4 linked regions of the Saccharomyces cerevisiae S288C genome follow. The protein of the gene in region 1 interacts with the protein of each later gene in a biochemical or structural test. Each region holds a gene or a part of one and is shown on either strand. Other genes may lie near its edges. The genes, in order: STE2, LDB19, MF(ALPHA)1 and ROG3.

Region 1 (4,320 bases):
AACATAAAGCGTATGGTAAGGGAAGATTAATGGCATCTGTGCTTTTATTACTGTTGGTATTTTTTCACATACCATACCAGATGGCGTTTGTTATCTCATTAGTAATCCAAATTGCTACCTGCATTAGAGTAGCGCTGTTGAAACTATCAAACAACGAGCAGAAATTGAACTTACTAAATTATAATATGACGTTGCTTCTGCTTTTATTATTTGTTAGTGCCATTAACATCCCTATCATTATTGTTTTCCTGCATAATGTTGCCATCAAATGGGAAACTTCATTTAGATCCCATCACAATATACTAGCAGTGGCACCAATTATTTTTTTGGTTGGAAATAATTCTATTTTCAAAATGCCAAACAGCGTACCTTTAGACACGTGGGATGGTAAAGTTACCATCATTTTATTTGTGTACTTAACCGTTTTCAGTTTCATTTATGGAATAAGAAATCTGTACTGGATACACCACTTGGTGAACATAATATGTGCCTGGTTGCTATTTTTCGAAACAATACATTAGAACTACAACCCAGTAAAAAAAGATTAACTGTATATATTGCCTGAGAGTTCTAGATCATGGCAAGAAAAAAGCTTGAACTCGTAAAAGCAAAGGTGGTTTCTACCACTACTTACGAGATGTTTATTATGTAAAGGAGTTTAAATATTATCAAATAAGAAAGATACCATTTTTTTTTATAGAGAATGTGGTGCATCTGATGAGCACCTGAATCTAGTAGTAACCTTATACCGAAGGTCACGAAATTACTTTTTCAAAGCCGTAAATTTTGATCATAAATTATTATTATCTTCAGTCCAGAACTTTCTGGCTTCCTCATCAGCTGCCGTATCGGGAGTGTACATGTCGACGGGTTCAACTTCTCCCTCTTTGTAACTTGCATCAGCAAACGGTCCTATCCTAGTATTTTTTGAACTCGTAGGTGTGGGCAACTGATAAAACTGATTTTTCTCTATATCATCTGCAGTCTCAGAAACAAAAGTTCTTTCCGAATGTTTATCCGATGTTGTTTCCTTCCTTCTAGGATATAGGTCATATAATCTACTTCTGAGACTGCTTTTAGCATCGTTGTTGATACTATCAGTTTGAAAGCTAGACAGCGTGCCTGGATAAAACCTATCTGTGGATGTTGTAAAGTCTGAAGTAATTGTGTTTGTTTTGGATGCATTATTAGCAGCCGTGGCCCACATTGATGATAATGGTAAAGACAATACAGCAAGTAATGTTGCAACAGTAGTCAAGACATCTGTTCCCTGGTTTGGTTTCAAACTGTATGCGAGGATGAATATTATCGATGGAACCAACAAAGATTGACATGACATTATGAGTAAAATATGGAAACTATCGAACTGCTTGAGACCAAGGAATCTTCTTGATCTAATAGCTAAAATCAATTTAACTACCAGGACAAATGACATAAAGTTTATTGAGGATGCAAGTAAAATTGTGGATGCATTGAAGTATTTATCTTGGGTGGCACTAACATCATTATAAGTCACAATCATACCTTTAACAGCGCTTACAAAATACATGGTAACTGTAGCAATCCCTAAAGTGAAAGATATCGACGTCAGCATCAAACCTATCCTTTTGAAGTTGTCGCCTGTGAAAATAACTTTTATCTGAAACACCAGTGAAGTCTCAATAGAAGCCACAAGAAGGACTTGAATTATATTTGTAGCACCATAAACATGAACGTCACCTCTACTGATGAACTGAGGAAATCCGGTGAGAGCGTAAGTCACTGAAGAGTAATTAGACAGTAAATATTTAAAATAGAGTGCAGAATGCAAAATGATTAAAAACAATGAAACTTGGTTGATAATGAAAATCGGCGTTTTTCTGCTTCTCGATGTCATCCACATGACAATCAAAGTCAAAGCAGCTGCACCACATCTGACACCAAACATAATGGCCTGAGTAACAGTACTGTTAACTAAACCTTGCAACTCATCGAAAGTGATGGTAGATCCATTCCCATATATGGAAGTGTAGTTAATGGTGCTTTGACCAGGATTATACGTTGGATCATAAAATAGATTGCTCAATGAAGGAGCCGCATCAGACATTTTTGATTCTTGGATATGGTTCTTAACGGTGCATTTTTAAGTAACCAATTATAATTATAGCCAGAGCAGGTGAAAAGAAAAGGTATCGTATTGCTTTGAAGTCAAATAAGATACTAATAGCACTCCTTAAATAGTATTCCACCCACAGAAAAAAATCTTGAATATGTAGGAAAGCTTTTTTCTTCATATGTGTTTCATCATGTACTTACCCAATTAGGAAATTTACATGGTTGAAAAAACTTCAATCTGCGACTTGCCAGGCACAGGTCCTAAGCAGTATGGACGTTGGCCTGCTTAAATTCTTAGCGGATACTATTGTTTCATTGCAAAGCAGGATACTTCTTCTCGTTTATACTAGCCTGTCTTAATGCACGAGACATTTACCCACAGAGCAAGACGTATATTGACGGATTGCAACACCTATTCGAGCACTACAGCGTGTGACAATGCATTTTGGCAGGCATTGGATAACATATCCGGACTATTCTACAGTTCGTTCTATGCTCTTATCTTGAATCTTTGGTGTATTAAAAAGCTTATTGAGGTTTCATAGCTAAATTTTTCCTTTTTTCTCTCTGGGAAGGGAAGATTATCTTGAATTGGCAAAGTAAAGAAATAAAGAGAAAATTTAGCAAATGACATAGAACAAGCCAATTAACAAAATACGATGCCATTAAGGTCATTATTTCATACTAATCAGAGTAGCCACGACAAAGACGCGTTGACAAGGGGAGGTTATAACGCATATCTGGAATCACTTTCTCGTTGTGACAGTGGAAAGGCAGAAGAACAAAAAGGAAAAGTTATATCAAAGTTATTAGAGAAAAAAGATGTCCGAGCTTTGAGGTACATAGGTTTAGGGCCTCTGGGGTTTGTAAACAACTCATTAAGAAAAGATTGTTGGTATGAATTATTGGCGTCCCAGTTGCTTATTGATGATGCAACAGAGTACATTACACCAGTGGAAAAACATAAAGATGAAGGTCAGGTGATATTGGATGCAGAAAGGTCTTTTGGTGGAATTGTCGACAAAAACTTGAAACTGCAATTGAGAAAACTACTGGTGGAGTTAATTACTCGGGTATTGAGAAAGTACCCAACGTTGAACTATTACCAAGGTTATCATGATATTGTGTCTGTTTTCATCATGTGTTTTAGTTGGAATGTCACAAAAGAGAACGGACTGGAACTAGAAAATCTCTCATTGCAAGAAGAAATTGATATGGAAAGGCTGTTTTATTGCATCGAAGCATTTACCCTATTATATCTGAGGGATTTCATGATGAACTCACTAGATTTTTCATTTGAGCAATTGAGAGTAATCTCTTCATTGATAAAGGAATCAAACATGAAATTCTATAATCTATTCAAATTTGACGAAAATGAGCCCCTTTTCGCTATTGGGTCAATATTGACAATCTTTGCACATAATTTGAAACCTATAGATAGCGGTGACAACAATCTTCATAAAATTCTTTTCCAGATATTTGACATGACAATATCGATGCAATCTATGCGTTTACCTTTGATCATATACAAGAACCTGCTATTGCAAAATGCGTCTGAAATTTCGAAGCAAATAGAAGCTAATTCTGATTTCTTCGAGAACGATTTTGACCTGCGCCATGGTGCTATACAAACAGTTTTACAGAAAAAACTGTATGATGAGGCGCTTTGGGAAGAAGTCTTGCAAATAACTAGAAAAGATGCGACTACTGCCAGCAAGAAGGCTTTGAAACGGGTGAGTCTTAATAAATATAGTGCATTACTCAATACAGCATGTGGAAAGCCAGGATGCTTCGATATGAGCACCATTATCTTCTATTTGAGCGAACAAACAAAGATGAACGAGCATTACAAGGAAGAAAAGTATCATGGTGTCGCCGCCAGATCCAAGACAAGGGCGTTGGTCCAAAGACTTGGCCATTTTTTACCCTCCAAATATAACAGGTGGAGCAAAATTTCTTTACTTATCGGGATTGTAGCTATCCTGTACCAATTACGGACTACAAGGTCGTTGAGTTTAGTACTCAATCTACGTTACATGATCTCCACAAAGTTGAAAGACTTATCACATATAAATATAAATTTGCACCACGTTAGTCACATCTGGGTGGATCCGATTAGGGACATTTTGAAACTGGGGCATCCAACTAGATAGCATACAATATACCTTATATACCCATGACATAGAAACAAACTCATATGTAAGGTATTATTATAAAGTGCTTCTT
Region 2 (5,313 bases), on another chromosome or scaffold:
AGTCGAACGTGACGTGTTCGTTATGGCAGCCTTTTATCCATTGCTTGCTTGGCTTTTACATTATATGCCATTCGTAGTGATGTCAAGAGTTGTATACGCTCACCACTATCTGCCCACCCTTTATTTTGCCTTAATGATCTTGTCATACTACTTCGATATGATTACCAAACGTTGGGCTACAAGAAACACTGGAAAATTTCTAAGGCTAGGAGCTTATATTGTATACGGATCAATCGTGATCGCTGGATTTTTTTATTTCTCTCCTTTTAGTTTTGGGATGGATGGTCCAGTAGATGATTACGCGTACTTGGCATGGCTACCTACGTGGCAGATTGTTGAAGATATACGTAACACATAGATATATAGAATGATCAAAAACTTTTCTTCACCACACAAAAAATGTTAATTGATGCGCGAAATATCTTTTTCGACTTATGCCTTCTTCTTTATCATAACAAAGCTATGTACCTACGACGAAATGAAGATATTAATCCAGTCCAGCCTTAAGAAAATACGAGAAAAAAAATGCTCAAGTGTTAAACAATGCCTGTATGTAGTTATCTGTGAAATGCATCAAATCATGGTCAGGGTTTGCTTATTGATCAGATTTGTAGTTTTCAGGTATCTAAGATAAAAATATATGGTAAATACCTTTAACGAATATTATAAAATCTACTGGGTTATTCTATTGGAATCTAGAAAATCGGAAAAGTTTTGTATTCTGATATCTCTTGTGCTATGTGGTGTCAACACATGTCCACGAAAAGGTACACTACCCTGGACACTAACAACACTTTCCAGTGGTGGTGACTGTACTGTGGTAAGGGATCTTTGCGAAGAGGAAGCAGGCTGGTAGTGATGTGCGGTTGGTGGTATCGTTAATTTATTTTGTGTGATCGTTACTTCCTGTACGTTAGGACCAGGTTCGAGCCCTTGGCTCTCATAGTTCCCAATATCTTCATCGCTGCCGCCCACAAAATCATCCTCTGATCTAACAGGAGTACTCATTGTTGAATAAAGTTTATTTTTGATTCCATTATTTATAGAGAGCTCGTAACATGGTGGCGAGAGCAACTCGACATCTTGGTAAATGGGAGGAACTTCTTCGTCCCAGGAGATTCCAAGTCCAGATCTTTCAGTGACTGTTAATCTGAATTGCATTCTTAAAACACGTGCTGCACCAGTGGGAACACTCACTATATTAGAGTTACTAGCACCGTTAGATGCCTTCTCCTTATTAGTACTATGGTTGGACTTATTACTATTCACCGGTGTTATATCTTCAGGCCCCATGCGCCGTACTTTCGGTGTATTTCTATTTGCAAAAATTGGAGATAATTCAGCTAAGCGTTGATCAGGATTATGAACATTCATCGTATTGTTATTAGTTTCTTTCTTGTTTTTGGAGTTTGGTTTCCGTATAGGTTGCCCATTGGCATATTGCAATGTTTCTTCTGCAACAACTATTTCCACTGCCAAGATGTGGCTTACATACAAACCTAAATTTGGATCCTGTATATCGCAAGCCACATTGATGCTGGGCTTCTTATTGCCCGTGGAAGGAGTTTGTAGTGTCGATGCATGCATTACCGGATTAGAGACGCCTGAATTAAGTCCCATACAATCTATTTCTGTAACTAGCTCAATCTTTCCATTATTGTCAAAATCGGTTTTCCATCCACTCTTCATTTCTCCCTTAGATATTATCCGAACCTCTTCCGTAAATAAACTACTGTTGTTTTTTAGCTCTTGTTGAAGTTGTTGTTGTCTTGCGCGTTGTTGCTGCATTAGTAACTCCTGACGCAAAGCGTCGTCACTGGGATGGATGAATTCGCTACCGGGTTGGTCTTCCTCATCTTCATTAACAGGATTTTCATCATCAAGTCCAACATTACCAGTTGACGCTGGACCCGAAGAATTAGGTGCTTGTTCACGACCGGGCTCGCCTGGAAGCCTTTGCGACGGCATATTTTCTAAAGAGTTTACTGCAACCCGGATTTGTGGGCCTAGTTCACCATAACGCTTAATATGACTGCGTGGCTTTTTACTTTTTTCTGACTCTTTTATTTTAACCTGCTCTTCTAACTGCCTCAATTCATGCTTGTGCACTGGACAAGCATGTGCTTTAACTCTTGTAGTTTCTTCAATTCTCCAACTCAATTTACGCATTCGCCATCTCCTATCCCCCGAAGAAACACCGTCTAATTTCATCTCCAAAGGAAAAGTAGATTTAGGATATACAACATTAGGAAGAACAGCAGCAGCAGTTAACTCTGTAGGAGGAAATACTCTTAGAGAATTCTTATCAGGCCCGCGCGGTATACTTCGAGTCACGGCGATGGGCATCGCTAGTTGCAACAACCGCTTCTTAGAAGAGCTTCCTTCTTTCCTGGGAGTAGAATGACCGGAAGAAAAGGAATTTCTATGAGGATCTATATACGTCACAACAGCGATAAGTTCGTATTTGACCTGGGTTTCAGCCGTAGCACCTAGCGATGAAGAACATGGGACAGACCCCGGTATAAGATAGGAAAATGGGTAAGAGTGGCTTCCAACAGAAAGATCCTGGGTATTACTCTGAATTTCCCAGCTTTTCATGTTTGTAATCTTTGTTTTACAGTTCATACAGGTTTGCATTGAGGAAATATTAGGCACAAAGGGTTTATGGAAATGGATCTTCTGTACCAAACTTAGTGTTACCGACGTAATGGTGATCTTGGTATAACCAGCCATTATTCTTAAATTAGCAGGCGTGGGAGAATGCGATATGGATGTAGAAGATGTTGAAGGAGAGATATTTGACGTCGACGCTGACAAGCTGGACAATCTAGATGAAAGTGCAGAACCAAATGTACTCTTTCTTTTTAGGCTTTTAGAAGTAGTCGACACATTAGATTCTGTATTCTTTAAAGATTTATCTTCAGCACTACTGTAGGGATCGACAACCGTCACAGTAAAAAGTCCACTTAGCACAGCACCTGAGGATTCCATAGCAGACCCATAAAGAACACATGGCGGTGATTCTACATCAATAGAAAGGGTTAGTGGAAGACTTTGTCCTTTTTTGTTGCTATTACTGTAGCCGTTATGATTGGACTGATGAGTAGATGTAAGACGTGAAAATGCCATGGTAAAACGTATTGTTTAGTGAAATGTATACTAAGTAGGAGTAAAAATCAGCAATTTCTGGTGTTGAAATGTGAACAACAGCGTTCTCCTCCGAAAAAGCAAGCTATAACGTTGCTCAACTTTTGATTCCGAAATCAGAAGCTTAAATAAGGAAAACTGAAAGCTAATTGGATGAAGCACACAAACTTAATCAACCTTATTATTCAAAGTATTCGGAGCCCTAGTAAAAACTGCCTATGATATGTATGAGTCGTGCTTTTCCGTCTGGTTTAATAAGTGTTCGAGTCAGCTCAAATCGCATTTTTGTCTTGAAGCTTCCGCCAAAAGAAAAAAAAAGTCGTTAATAGCGATACAAGTAAGCAATTAACTATCACACCATAGAATGAGTTGACAAGAGTACTTATTTGATGGCTTTACTGAACTATGTATACACGTCCTTCATACATGGAACTTAGCTTTATCCTAAAAATTTTTATAATGTCACAGTCTTTATATCTAAATCCTTGTGAACAAAAGCTTTGTTACCACCAGCACCAAGGTAGTCACTAGCAACCTGGCCGTCACCTCTTATTTGGTATTGATAACTCACCAGACCGTCCAAGCCAACTGGACCACGGGCGTGAATCTTAGAGGTAGAAATACCCACTTCAGCACCAAAACCGTACCTGAAACCATCGGCAAATCTAGTTGATGCATTCCAGTAAACACCAGAGGAGTCGACACCCTTCATAAATTTTTCAGCGTTTGCTTTATTTTCCGTTACAATAGCGTCGGTATGTCTCGAAGAGTGTGTATTTATATGTTGAATGGCCGATTCTGTAGATGTAACAAACTTGGCAGCCAAATCCAAGGATAAAAATTCCTTATCAAAATCTTGCTCCTCATCAGCATCAACGGTTTTGCATTGAATTGCTTCTGTCAATTTCCCTAACTCATTCAGTTTATCAAAATACGCAGTTTTCAAATCTTTTGTAGCGTGGATAGTCACTCCGCCTTCCAAAGTTAAGTTTTCCAGAACTTCCCACCACTTAGAGAATTTTGGGTTAATCAACAACGTTTCCATAGCGTTGCAACCAGCTGGGTAGTTAGTCTTTGCATCCAAACTAATTCTTTTTGCCTTAATCAAATCTGCGTCTTCATCCAAGTAAATTGAGCAGATACCATCCGCATGACCCAACACGGGAATTTTTGTAGTGTCCTTGATTTTTCTGACTAAGGCATTGGAACCACGAGGAACAACTAAGTCGATGTACTCATCTTGATCCAACAAGTCGGAAACATCCTGTCTGGTTTCGATCAATTGCACAGAGCCCACAGGAACACCAGTCTCACTTTGGAATTGTGCAATGGTGTCGTTAACGATCTTTGCCATTTCTCTGAACGTGTTCACAGACTCTTTACCACCCTTCAAAATTGCAGCATTACCAGACTTGATACTCAATGCGGTAATATTGGCAATAACTTCTGGACGGGATTCAAAGATAACTAACAAAACGCCGACTGGAGCGGTTACTTGGTACAACGTCAAGCCATCATCTAATTCCCTGGCCATTTTAACCTTGCCAACAGGGTCTTCTAGTTCGGCTACATCCTTAATACCTTGTAACATAACTTCAAATTTGTCCCCTTTAAATAGGTCGAGACGTTTCAATAAAGAATCCGCTAGGCCAGTCTCTTTGGCAACAGCTAAATCGATTTTATTCGCTTCTTCAATGGCATGCGCATTAGCCTTCAGGGCATCGTGAATTTTGTATAAAATATCTGATCTGCCCTCGTTTGAGATGGTTTTCAAAATATTCCCTGCTTTACGGGCATTTTTGGCTATTTGTTGTGAACTGGACATCTTTATATTGGTTGCCTGTGCTCCTTTTTGTTCTTACTCTTTTTACCAATACGCTTTTACTTTTTCTCTTCTTTTCTTGAAGCTTTTTGAAAAACGTCTGTCGACTTTTTTCATTTTTTGACTCATTGACCCAACGCCACAAATGAACAAAGAAATTTGGCCACTGCATCGCCTTTCCTGCCCCATTGATTCAAATGTCCATGCGCGTTGATTGATGTGTGATATATATATATATATATATGTATATAGATGTATATTATTATGTTCAGAGGTGATTTTATCTTTGTACGCGTACCATTTTTGTAAAGTGACCTTGTTTTGACTTTTTAACGAGTAAAAAA
Region 3 (3,509 bases), on another chromosome or scaffold:
GACAAAGGTTTAGACAATCTATCTGAAGGTAATGATAATGATAACACAAGAGTTAATGAAGATACAGACGTCACCGACACGCAAGAATCAGAACATGAGATCAACGGTTCTGATACTGAAAATACGGATATGTCCGAACAAGAAGAAATACAGAAAATAGATAAACCCGCCGATCAAAACGCTAAGTCAATTGTAAAAGAAGGCGATGCCAATACTGAAGATTATGAAAGTGTTTTGAAAAAGCTACTGGGAGCGTTAGGACGCTTTTTTGGCTCATGGTTTTCTTGGTTGACAACGAAAATGTCAAGCTCAGAGGCATCATAATCAGGGAGTGTATTTTTTTTCGTTGTCGTTATCCTCTTTGTATTTTACGCTGTTGAATTCTCTTAGGATTCGATTCACATTCATCTTTTTTTAGCTACTAATAGGATAAATTATAGGAATTTATAACAAATTGAAATATGGCAGGCAGCAAAATTAAAATTGTCTTAGTTTTTTAGTGTATAGAAGTGAATAGCTATATAAAGTATGTGTAAAGTTGGTAACGGAACGAAAAATAGAAAAGGATATTACATGGGAAAACATGTTGTTTACGGAGAAATGAAAAGTATATTGTATTTTGTACGAGCTAAAAGTACAGTGGGAACAAAGTCGACTTTGTTACATCTACACTGTTGTTATCAGTCGGGCTTAGTACATTGGTTGGCCGGGTTTTAACTGCAACCAATGCCAAGCTTCAGCGTCGGCTTCTCTTTTGTACATTGGTTGGCCAGGCTTTAGTTGCAGCCAATGCCAAGCTTCAGCGTCGGCTTCTCTTTTGTACATTGGTTGGCCAGGCTTTAGTTGCAGCCAATGCCAAGCTTCAGCTTCGGCTTCTCTCTTGTACATTGGTTGGCCAGGTTTTAGTTGCAACCAATGCCAAGCTTCAGCCTCTCTTTTATCCAAAGATACCCCTTCTTCTTTAGCAGCAATGCTGGCAATAGTAGTATTTATAAACAATAACCCGTTATTTGTGCTGTTGGAAAATGGCAAAACAGCAACATCGAAATCCCCTTCTAAATCTAAGTAACCGATGACAGCTTCAGCCGGAATTTGTGCCGTTTCATCTTCTGTTGTAGTGTTGACTGGAGCAGCTAATGCGGAGGATGCTGCGAATAAAACTGCAGTAAAAATTGAAGGAAATCTCATTCTTTTAATCGTTTATATTGTGTATGAAATTGATAGTTTGTAATCTTCTTGTTTGAACTATTCTTGAATCGTAAATGAATCGTAAGAACAGTAACATTTTTGATGGGAACAAAAGGCCCTCTTATATATGTACTTATCCAAAACCTGTTGTTGCTTTTTGGTTTTCTTGCACTTCAATACAATTGAAGTAAGGCTCACTTGAATATTATGTGTTTGATAAATGAGATGCATCTTTTCACATGGTCCACTGTTTTTCAGTAGAAGCTATTAAATTCGGCAAAATTTACTGTCGTTGATGGCCTAATTAGGAAGGTGTTCATAAAAAAAAGGAATACAGATGTTCTATTGAAGGACTAATTAGGAAAGTTAATTGGATTTTGTTAAATAATTGCACAAATAGTTGTTGGATATTGCATCAGAATTATGCAGATTACCAAAGAGAACGGGATGTCTATTTAGCGCATTTATTCCTAATTCGGAAATTATTGAAATCCACACTACTTAATAGTGCTGCACCATTTATCTCATAATTATTGCCTACGCTAATGAAAGCAAATCTTATTCCGACTTCAAATTGGATCTCTCCTCAAGAAAAGAAGCTCAATGACCTATTAGAGTATGAATACTTGTAAAACAAATGAACAGCGAGTGCTTGTTTAACTTTTTTTTTTTTTTTTTTTTGATTTTAGGAATTGATACGAAACATAGTCTCTCTCCATTTTCTCCCACAACAGGACTGCAGTAAGGATGTTATTATTAATAATATATATATTATATAATTATATCTTCTTGTTAAGCATGTCTTCCCTATATGTCACAGTTTTCTTAAAGCAATAGAATAAAAGACACAATACCAAAAATTTCATGTCGAGTATGTCAGTTGAGATTTCTCTAGACAAAATGCAAGAAAAAATAAAGATCTCTACTTGTCAAATACCTTTAAATCTTATCAATAGAATTCTTAGAGAATCTCATTGAATCTTTGCATTCAGAGCGTTTAATCATTATCAGTCTGTCTCTTGGTCAGCCTAAAGCTAGAATTGAATCCTAAAAGTTCATTGATTCCTCTAATCCAGTCATTCTCGGTCTTGGCGACACAATAAATCCCTGACCTTTTAGGCTTTTTTGAATTATTAAAGTCATTTTCAGTTTTTCTTGTCGTCGGAAGCTGAGTACCATCTATGTATATAGTGCCGACCTCATTTATAACATAAATTTCATCACCAACATCTAAATCCTGTTGAGGAATACCATCAACAGAAAGTTTTACCACACTGTTGACTGGTTTTTGGTTCAATTTGGAACCTATCTTTATCCTAATGTGGGATGAATGAGGCAAAATCAGTGGTCGGAATGACAAAGAGCGAGGACAAATTGGTGTCATTAAAATAGCAGGGACTAATGGGGAAACAATAGATCCACCTGCTGATAATGAATATGCTGTGGAACCCGTTGGAGTGGCCAATGCAACACCATCTGCTGTCGTTCTTGTCAAAAATTCCCCATCAATGAAAATGTCCAGGTTAGTGAGATGAGGGGAATTACCCCTATGTAAGAATATGTCATTCATAGCATGGGTCACAATAGATGAGTTGCTATCCTTTTTTTTCAAATGACATTCTAGCCGTGTTCTATGCAAACATTTGGCTCTAGAGCTGATTACTTCCTGAAAGACCTTTTTATGCTCCTTAAAATCAAACGGTGATAGAAAGCCCAGAGTGCCCAGAGCAAATGCTAAAACCGGAGGAACTTGCGTATTTCCGAACATTGATACGCCGTGTAAAATAGTCCCATCACCTCCCAATGTCACCAATAAGTCTGTTCTGTTTACGATATCTTGTTCAGGACCAGTATAAAGTATATGAGGTCGGTTGGGATCATTCTCCAAAGGAGATTTGAAATCCTGGGAAATTTCTTCTGCCACATCGGGTTGAACAATGACGTTCACCTCGGGGTATGACTCATGTAAATGAGTTATGAATTCAACCATCGCTTCTCTTGTGGATGGAGTCCATGGTTTTTTAGTTATATAAACATTTTGTAAAGGGTTCTGCCAGATTAAAGATTGTAATTTGGAATTTGGTGGGGACACGAAATCTGCTGATGAACTACTCCTCAAGTTATTTACTGGCTTTATTTTTACAAACTTCGAGCCGCTCTGTAACTTTAGGGAATGTGAATCCAACGTACTATAGAACCTATACCATTTTACTGGTTTATTCAATTTAACCCTGACAAACATTTTAATCAGTATCCTTAACCTTTTTATCCTTTTATTTATGAAACAGCGAATAATGAATACTTAGTCTTCTCCTGCCTTT
Region 4 (4,789 bases), 110 kb from region 1:
ATTCTCAAAAATTCAGGTGAATCAGAATGGCTCGAACTTGACGATCTGGATGTTTTTTCGTGGTAGTCGTCTGGCCTAATAGGAGTAACTACGGGGTTAAATGATATTTTCTTTTCTTGATCTTTTTTTACTTTCAAATCCTGGTTTTTCAAAATATTCAGGGGAACCATACTGAGTATAGAAGGTTTTTTGTTTGAAATAGAATACATGTTTCCTCTTGTAGGTTGAAATTTTTTTTGTGATACTGATTCTCTCGTTATTATTGGTTCGTTCAATTAATGAATAATTAGTTTGATTATTTTCCTCTTTATTTGACCTTAGGAACAGTTTTTAAGGTATACTCTGAACTGCAAATTTTTGTCATAACTCTTGGTAATCAAGGCTAGAAGTGTACTATTTTTGCTTTCTGCACAAGGCTTTTTCTTCGGTACGACACAAAAACAACTATTGTGTCGCAGTCCATAGAAGGAGCAAGAAAAAAGAATGTCTTTAAAGGCGAATGTGATTCTATGCTTTCTAGTACCTACTGTGCCGAATAATGTGTAAGTCTCAAAATTCTTTTCTTCCAAAGCATATCCATAATATTTACCTTACGCTGGGTATTTTTTTTTTGGTCACTCCAGATCTAGTTTTTTAAAACTTGATCCCAACGTAACTAAATATAAACAAGACAAAGCTCGAAATAATATAATGTAATTTAGCGAATGTAGTGTTTATATCACCACATTTGGAGAATGTACAATGAATAGTTTCTCTGTCTCTAATGGAATAAGAATTTAATTTCAAGATTTAATTACTTTATGGTGGACCATTTATCTTATGATATCTAGCAAATCAAAGGATCCCTCAAACTGAAAACCAATAGCAGGATCGACCTGACTCTTTTCAACAATGCAGTGGATTTTTTTGAACTTATACTGCCGCACGCCAAACATTGCATTTATCCCTTTTTCTTTAAAATGCCAGTTAGAGTGCGTAAATGCTATATACATCACTTTCTATATGAAACTATACAAGCTTAATGCACGAGCCGAAACAATATCGGCGACTATCGTTTGTTACCCTTTGATAGAAAACCTCCCATAAACCCAGCTAAAGAAGTAGCCCTCCGTCTTGTTGGTGACCTTTTCATACTATTACTGGATGGGTTATTCGAAGTTTTCGAAGTTAACTCATTAAGTGTATTAAGAGATACCCCACTAGAACTACTTCTAGAGCCATTAATTATGGAAATAGGGGAAGCAGTGCTACTCATAAAACTAGAGGAATGAAAGCTAGTTGGTATAGAAGATGACAATGTTGTCGAAGAGTTCCTGGAATGTACCCTACTGGGTTTTCTTGGTTGCACATTTTGTATCGCACAAGGGTAGGAAGGAGGAAGGTCCTCACCAATGATATCATATTTCATTGCCTTGCCATACGATGGAACCTTGTTCAGGTTTTGAGTCTCTGGATAATTTAAGCCCGAGGGCACTGGTAACACTTCATGGGCTGACACGCTTGGGGCTGGGGATCTTGAAAGTAAAACAGGTGATACGTTACTATGTACTCCTGGCACAGAGCCACTATTGGGACCAAGAGCACTCTGAGGTAAGATTCTCTCCGTGCCATCCTCTGGTGCTGGAACGTTTAGTAATGGAGATAGCGATCTGGAAGCGGCAGCAGACGAGGCAGACGGTGGTAGCCCTAGATTGTCACGTTGATTTCTAATTTTTGTCAACCGTATACGTAAATCTTCTAAATCCTGTTGCTGATCCTCGACAGTCGAACATTCGCTTCCCAAAGGAGTACATGTTCCAGACGTTTCCACAGCCGTGCGAGTGAAAGAACCGCTATAAAGACGATCATATACGTGCATTTCATAATTTGGGGGCGTCATCAAGTCTGAAATGGTAGGAACAGAGCCACCGCTACGCATATCCGCTAATAATTCCAACCCTGTGACTGATGCTGATCTAGAAAACAGATATTCCTCTTCCTCTTCTTGTGATGAGTTTTCGTCTTTCTGGTTAGTGGTGCTAAAAAGCGAATACAAATTCGAGGATGACAATGGTTTTATTGAAAGTGCCACAAATGGTGAAATAAAAAGTTGAATCGGTAAGGACGCTCTTAACTCAGATTTATGACCATCTGGGTTAATTAGGATGATGAAAAATTTGAGCTTATGGCGAACCTTAATGTTAGAGCGGACATCACAATCTTGCACACAGTTTGATAAGCTGTTCGGGATTTGCAGGATGGTATCAATCTCCCACTTGTCTTGGAATGAATGATCAGGCTGAAAAAAGGGGTTATTTACAAAGCAACCATTACCATTAAATTCTCCAGATGACTCGTTCAAGGGATCTTCAAGATTTAGTTCTGTCACTTGCCTATTTTCAGAAATTACTGGAGGGAAGGGGTCACAATATTGATAATTCTCAAATAATACGACTTTGATTGAGCCCAATTTCAAACCTTTCGAAAGAGGTACAATGGAAATATTTATAGGGGTGGCTGAACCAATAGCTACGGCTTTGTTGGGTACTGAAATAGAATAATCCACTTTGTCGGGCCATGAGTTATCTACACAAACAGTTTCTGATAACTCCACTGCTGCGGGTGAAATGGTTCTCAGAACTCTAATATTTTTCCTACAGATCAAATCACTATAATTTTTGCTGCGTTCAATAACGGATTCCATGCTATATGTCACGAAGCAATTTGGCAAAGATTCTACGCTCTCTGGTAACGAACCAGGCAAAATAGCACTAAAGGGAAAATCGTAGTTGCCCTTATCTAAAGTACATGAAGAGGGTGAGGAGGACCCCTTTAAAGACTTCAAGGAACTTGTGGACTGAGCTCTTTGGCGAGTGCCCAAGATATTACTTGATGAGCTACTGCCCGCAAGGCCAGATTGCCCTCTTAAACCACTCAGATACTCCTTGAGGTTAACATTATCCCATGCGTAATTATAAAAAACTTTGTTGTACTTTCTGATCTTTGGCGGCGATGAAGACAACGACGAAGAACTAGCGTCCTGGGGCCTCTCTAATGGTACGTCTATTTGTATCTTCCCATAAAGTCTCAATGATATGCTTTTGATCTGCATGGGTTCGTTAATCGATAAAACGATGCAACCAGATAAAAGCACCGAGGGGGCCTCGTTTGGAGGACCTTTGAGGAGTATTACATCGTTGTCAACATTTTTAAGTCTGATATCGAAAAGCAGAGGCTTTTTCTTAGTTGATTTACCGCTACTGAAGCCCATGTCGAACTTTTTGTATTTTTATTTTGCTAAGAGAGCTGCCTCTATGTAGCAACAATAGATATTGGCTCTTTATCAACGCCAATTATATAAACGAAAATAGCAAAAGGGTTTATACGCACTTTAAAACACCCTGATTCATCTATTAGCCGTATAGAGAATATACCGCATCACAAGTGATTTACCCGCGTGAAGTTAACTCTTCCGAGGAATCAAATACCAACTGATCCAAATTCGTAATCAACAGGGCTAAGCCGGAAGGAGGCTTCGTAGCGTAGTAACGTCACTCCAGTGATCCTTTTTCGACAAACAAATACTCGATCCATGAAAGCCATTTTTTTGAATTTTTATATCGAAAATTTCCCCTTTAGGCGAGTTCTATTGTTTTAAATAAAAACACCGCAACAAGATAATGGTGACGAAAATATTATGCAAAAGGATAGATTATACGCAGGAGTTTATATAAACTATATTGTGTATGCGTTGTGACGTACGGAAGGCAGCGCGAGACACTTCCGTGATCAATCCATCAAGATGGAATACTGTGACAATATTAAGCAATCGCCGCCTCTCTCCGGGTCCATAACAAAGTTGTATAGGTATCCATCCGAGGAAACGACCCTGATGGGGACCATCTTCATAACAGGCTCATGGTAGGACTCTGTACTTGCGGAATTGCCAGTTTCGAAGAGTTCCGGATACTCGGATGTGTCTATATCTATTGGAGAGCCTATACTTGATATGGTCATTACATGGGAATTGGTTTCAACGGGAAGTTTCAAAGACGCAAAATGGCGCGAGGATTCCAACAACGATGTAACTTTGATGGGGAAAATCTGACCCAATGTTCTGGCAGCTCTTCGGGATAGCTTTTGAGAAGAGTAACGTATCATCCTACCCATTGTCTTTCTTGATGCATCCACATATGGTTCTCTTGCGAGTCTTGTCGGGTTTTCCTCGTCACTCAGCGCATCGATACTGGTGGTATCGAGCGATGAATCATCGGCTGCAGCTTCTTCCATGTTGCTATCATCGCTGTCTAGTTTATTGTTGCTCATTGAATGCCCCAATTTGAAGATATGCACGGTTTTGGAAGAGCCGGTAACCGCCAAGTACTGGCTATCTTCACTGAATGATATGGAGTAAATTCTTGTCGCGTACGTCCCTCTCCTGAATTGGTAGATCTTATCACCCGTTTCAATGTCAAAGACCCTGATGATAGTACCTTTATCAGAGGCGGTAGCCATTAGTGTCCCATCAAAACTAATTGCCATTGCAGCAATCTCGCCCTTATGAGCTTCGATGACCATGGTTGGCTGTAATGTTTCCAAGTTGAATACGATCACATCACCATTCTTTATTATACTGCTGTTACCGCCGTTACTGCTTGTTGGATCCGCATCATCCCTCTTAGTAAAGCTCGAATACTGATCCAAGTCGCTAATGTCACTATGGCCAGCATCTTGCTGATCTCTCTTGAAACTGGTCTCTGTGTTGCCACCAACTGACAATGTGATATTGTTTGTGGTGGCATGAGCTTTA

The links.
Region 2: the proteins of STE2 (region 1) and LDB19 form a complex in vitro, tested with the Saccharomyces cerevisiae proteins (one study listed by BioGRID).
Region 3: the proteins of STE2 (region 1) and MF(ALPHA)1 form a complex in vitro, tested with the Saccharomyces cerevisiae proteins (one study listed by BioGRID).
Region 4: the proteins of STE2 (region 1) and ROG3 form a complex in vitro, tested with the Saccharomyces cerevisiae proteins (one study listed by BioGRID).

What each region holds. Positions count from the first base shown.
Region 1 is NC_001138.5:80,346-84,665, reverse strand, and holds STE2 (alpha-factor pheromone receptor STE2), read right to left. Parts: upstream 2,087-4,320; coding exon 791-2,086; downstream 1-790. Other genes in the region: BST1 (Bst1p), read left to right, coding at 1-521; GTPase-activating protein GYP8, read left to right, coding at 2,754-4,247. UniProt on the Saccharomyces cerevisiae protein: Fungal class D1 G-protein-coupled receptor that acts as an alpha-factor pheromone receptor performing pheromone-dependent signal transduction involved in cellular conjugation, mating projection assembly, and in cell fusion.
Region 2 is NC_001147.6:917,934-923,246, forward strand, and holds LDB19 (Ldb19p), read right to left. Parts: upstream 3,130-5,313; coding exon 673-3,129; downstream 1-672. Other genes in the region: dolichyl-phosphate-mannose-protein mannosyltransferase PMT3, read left to right, coding at 1-358; PRO2 (glutamate-5-semialdehyde dehydrogenase), read right to left, coding at 3,602-4,972; FRT1 (Frt1p), read right to left, coding at 5,299-5,313. UniProt on the Saccharomyces cerevisiae protein: May be involved in protein-linked oligosaccharide phosphorylation since the deletion reduces the negative charge of the cell surface.
Region 3 is NC_001148.4:191,327-194,835, reverse strand, and holds MF(ALPHA)1 (Mf(Alpha)1p), read right to left. Parts: upstream 1,189-3,509; coding exon 691-1,188; downstream 1-690. Other genes in the region: UIP4 (Uip4p), read left to right, coding at 1-324; POS5 (NADH kinase), read right to left, coding at 2,186-3,430. UniProt on the Saccharomyces cerevisiae protein: The active factor is excreted into the culture medium by haploid cells of the alpha mating type and acts on cells of the opposite mating type (type A).
Region 4 is NC_001138.5:195,294-200,082, reverse strand, and holds ROG3 (Rog3p), read right to left. Parts: upstream 3,251-4,789; coding exon 1,049-3,250; downstream 1-1,048. Other genes in the region: PES4 (Pes4p), read right to left, coding at 1-209; phosphoinositide binding protein ATG18, read right to left, coding at 3,769-4,789. UniProt on the Saccharomyces cerevisiae protein: Involved in resistance to GST substrate o-dinitrobenzene (o-DNB).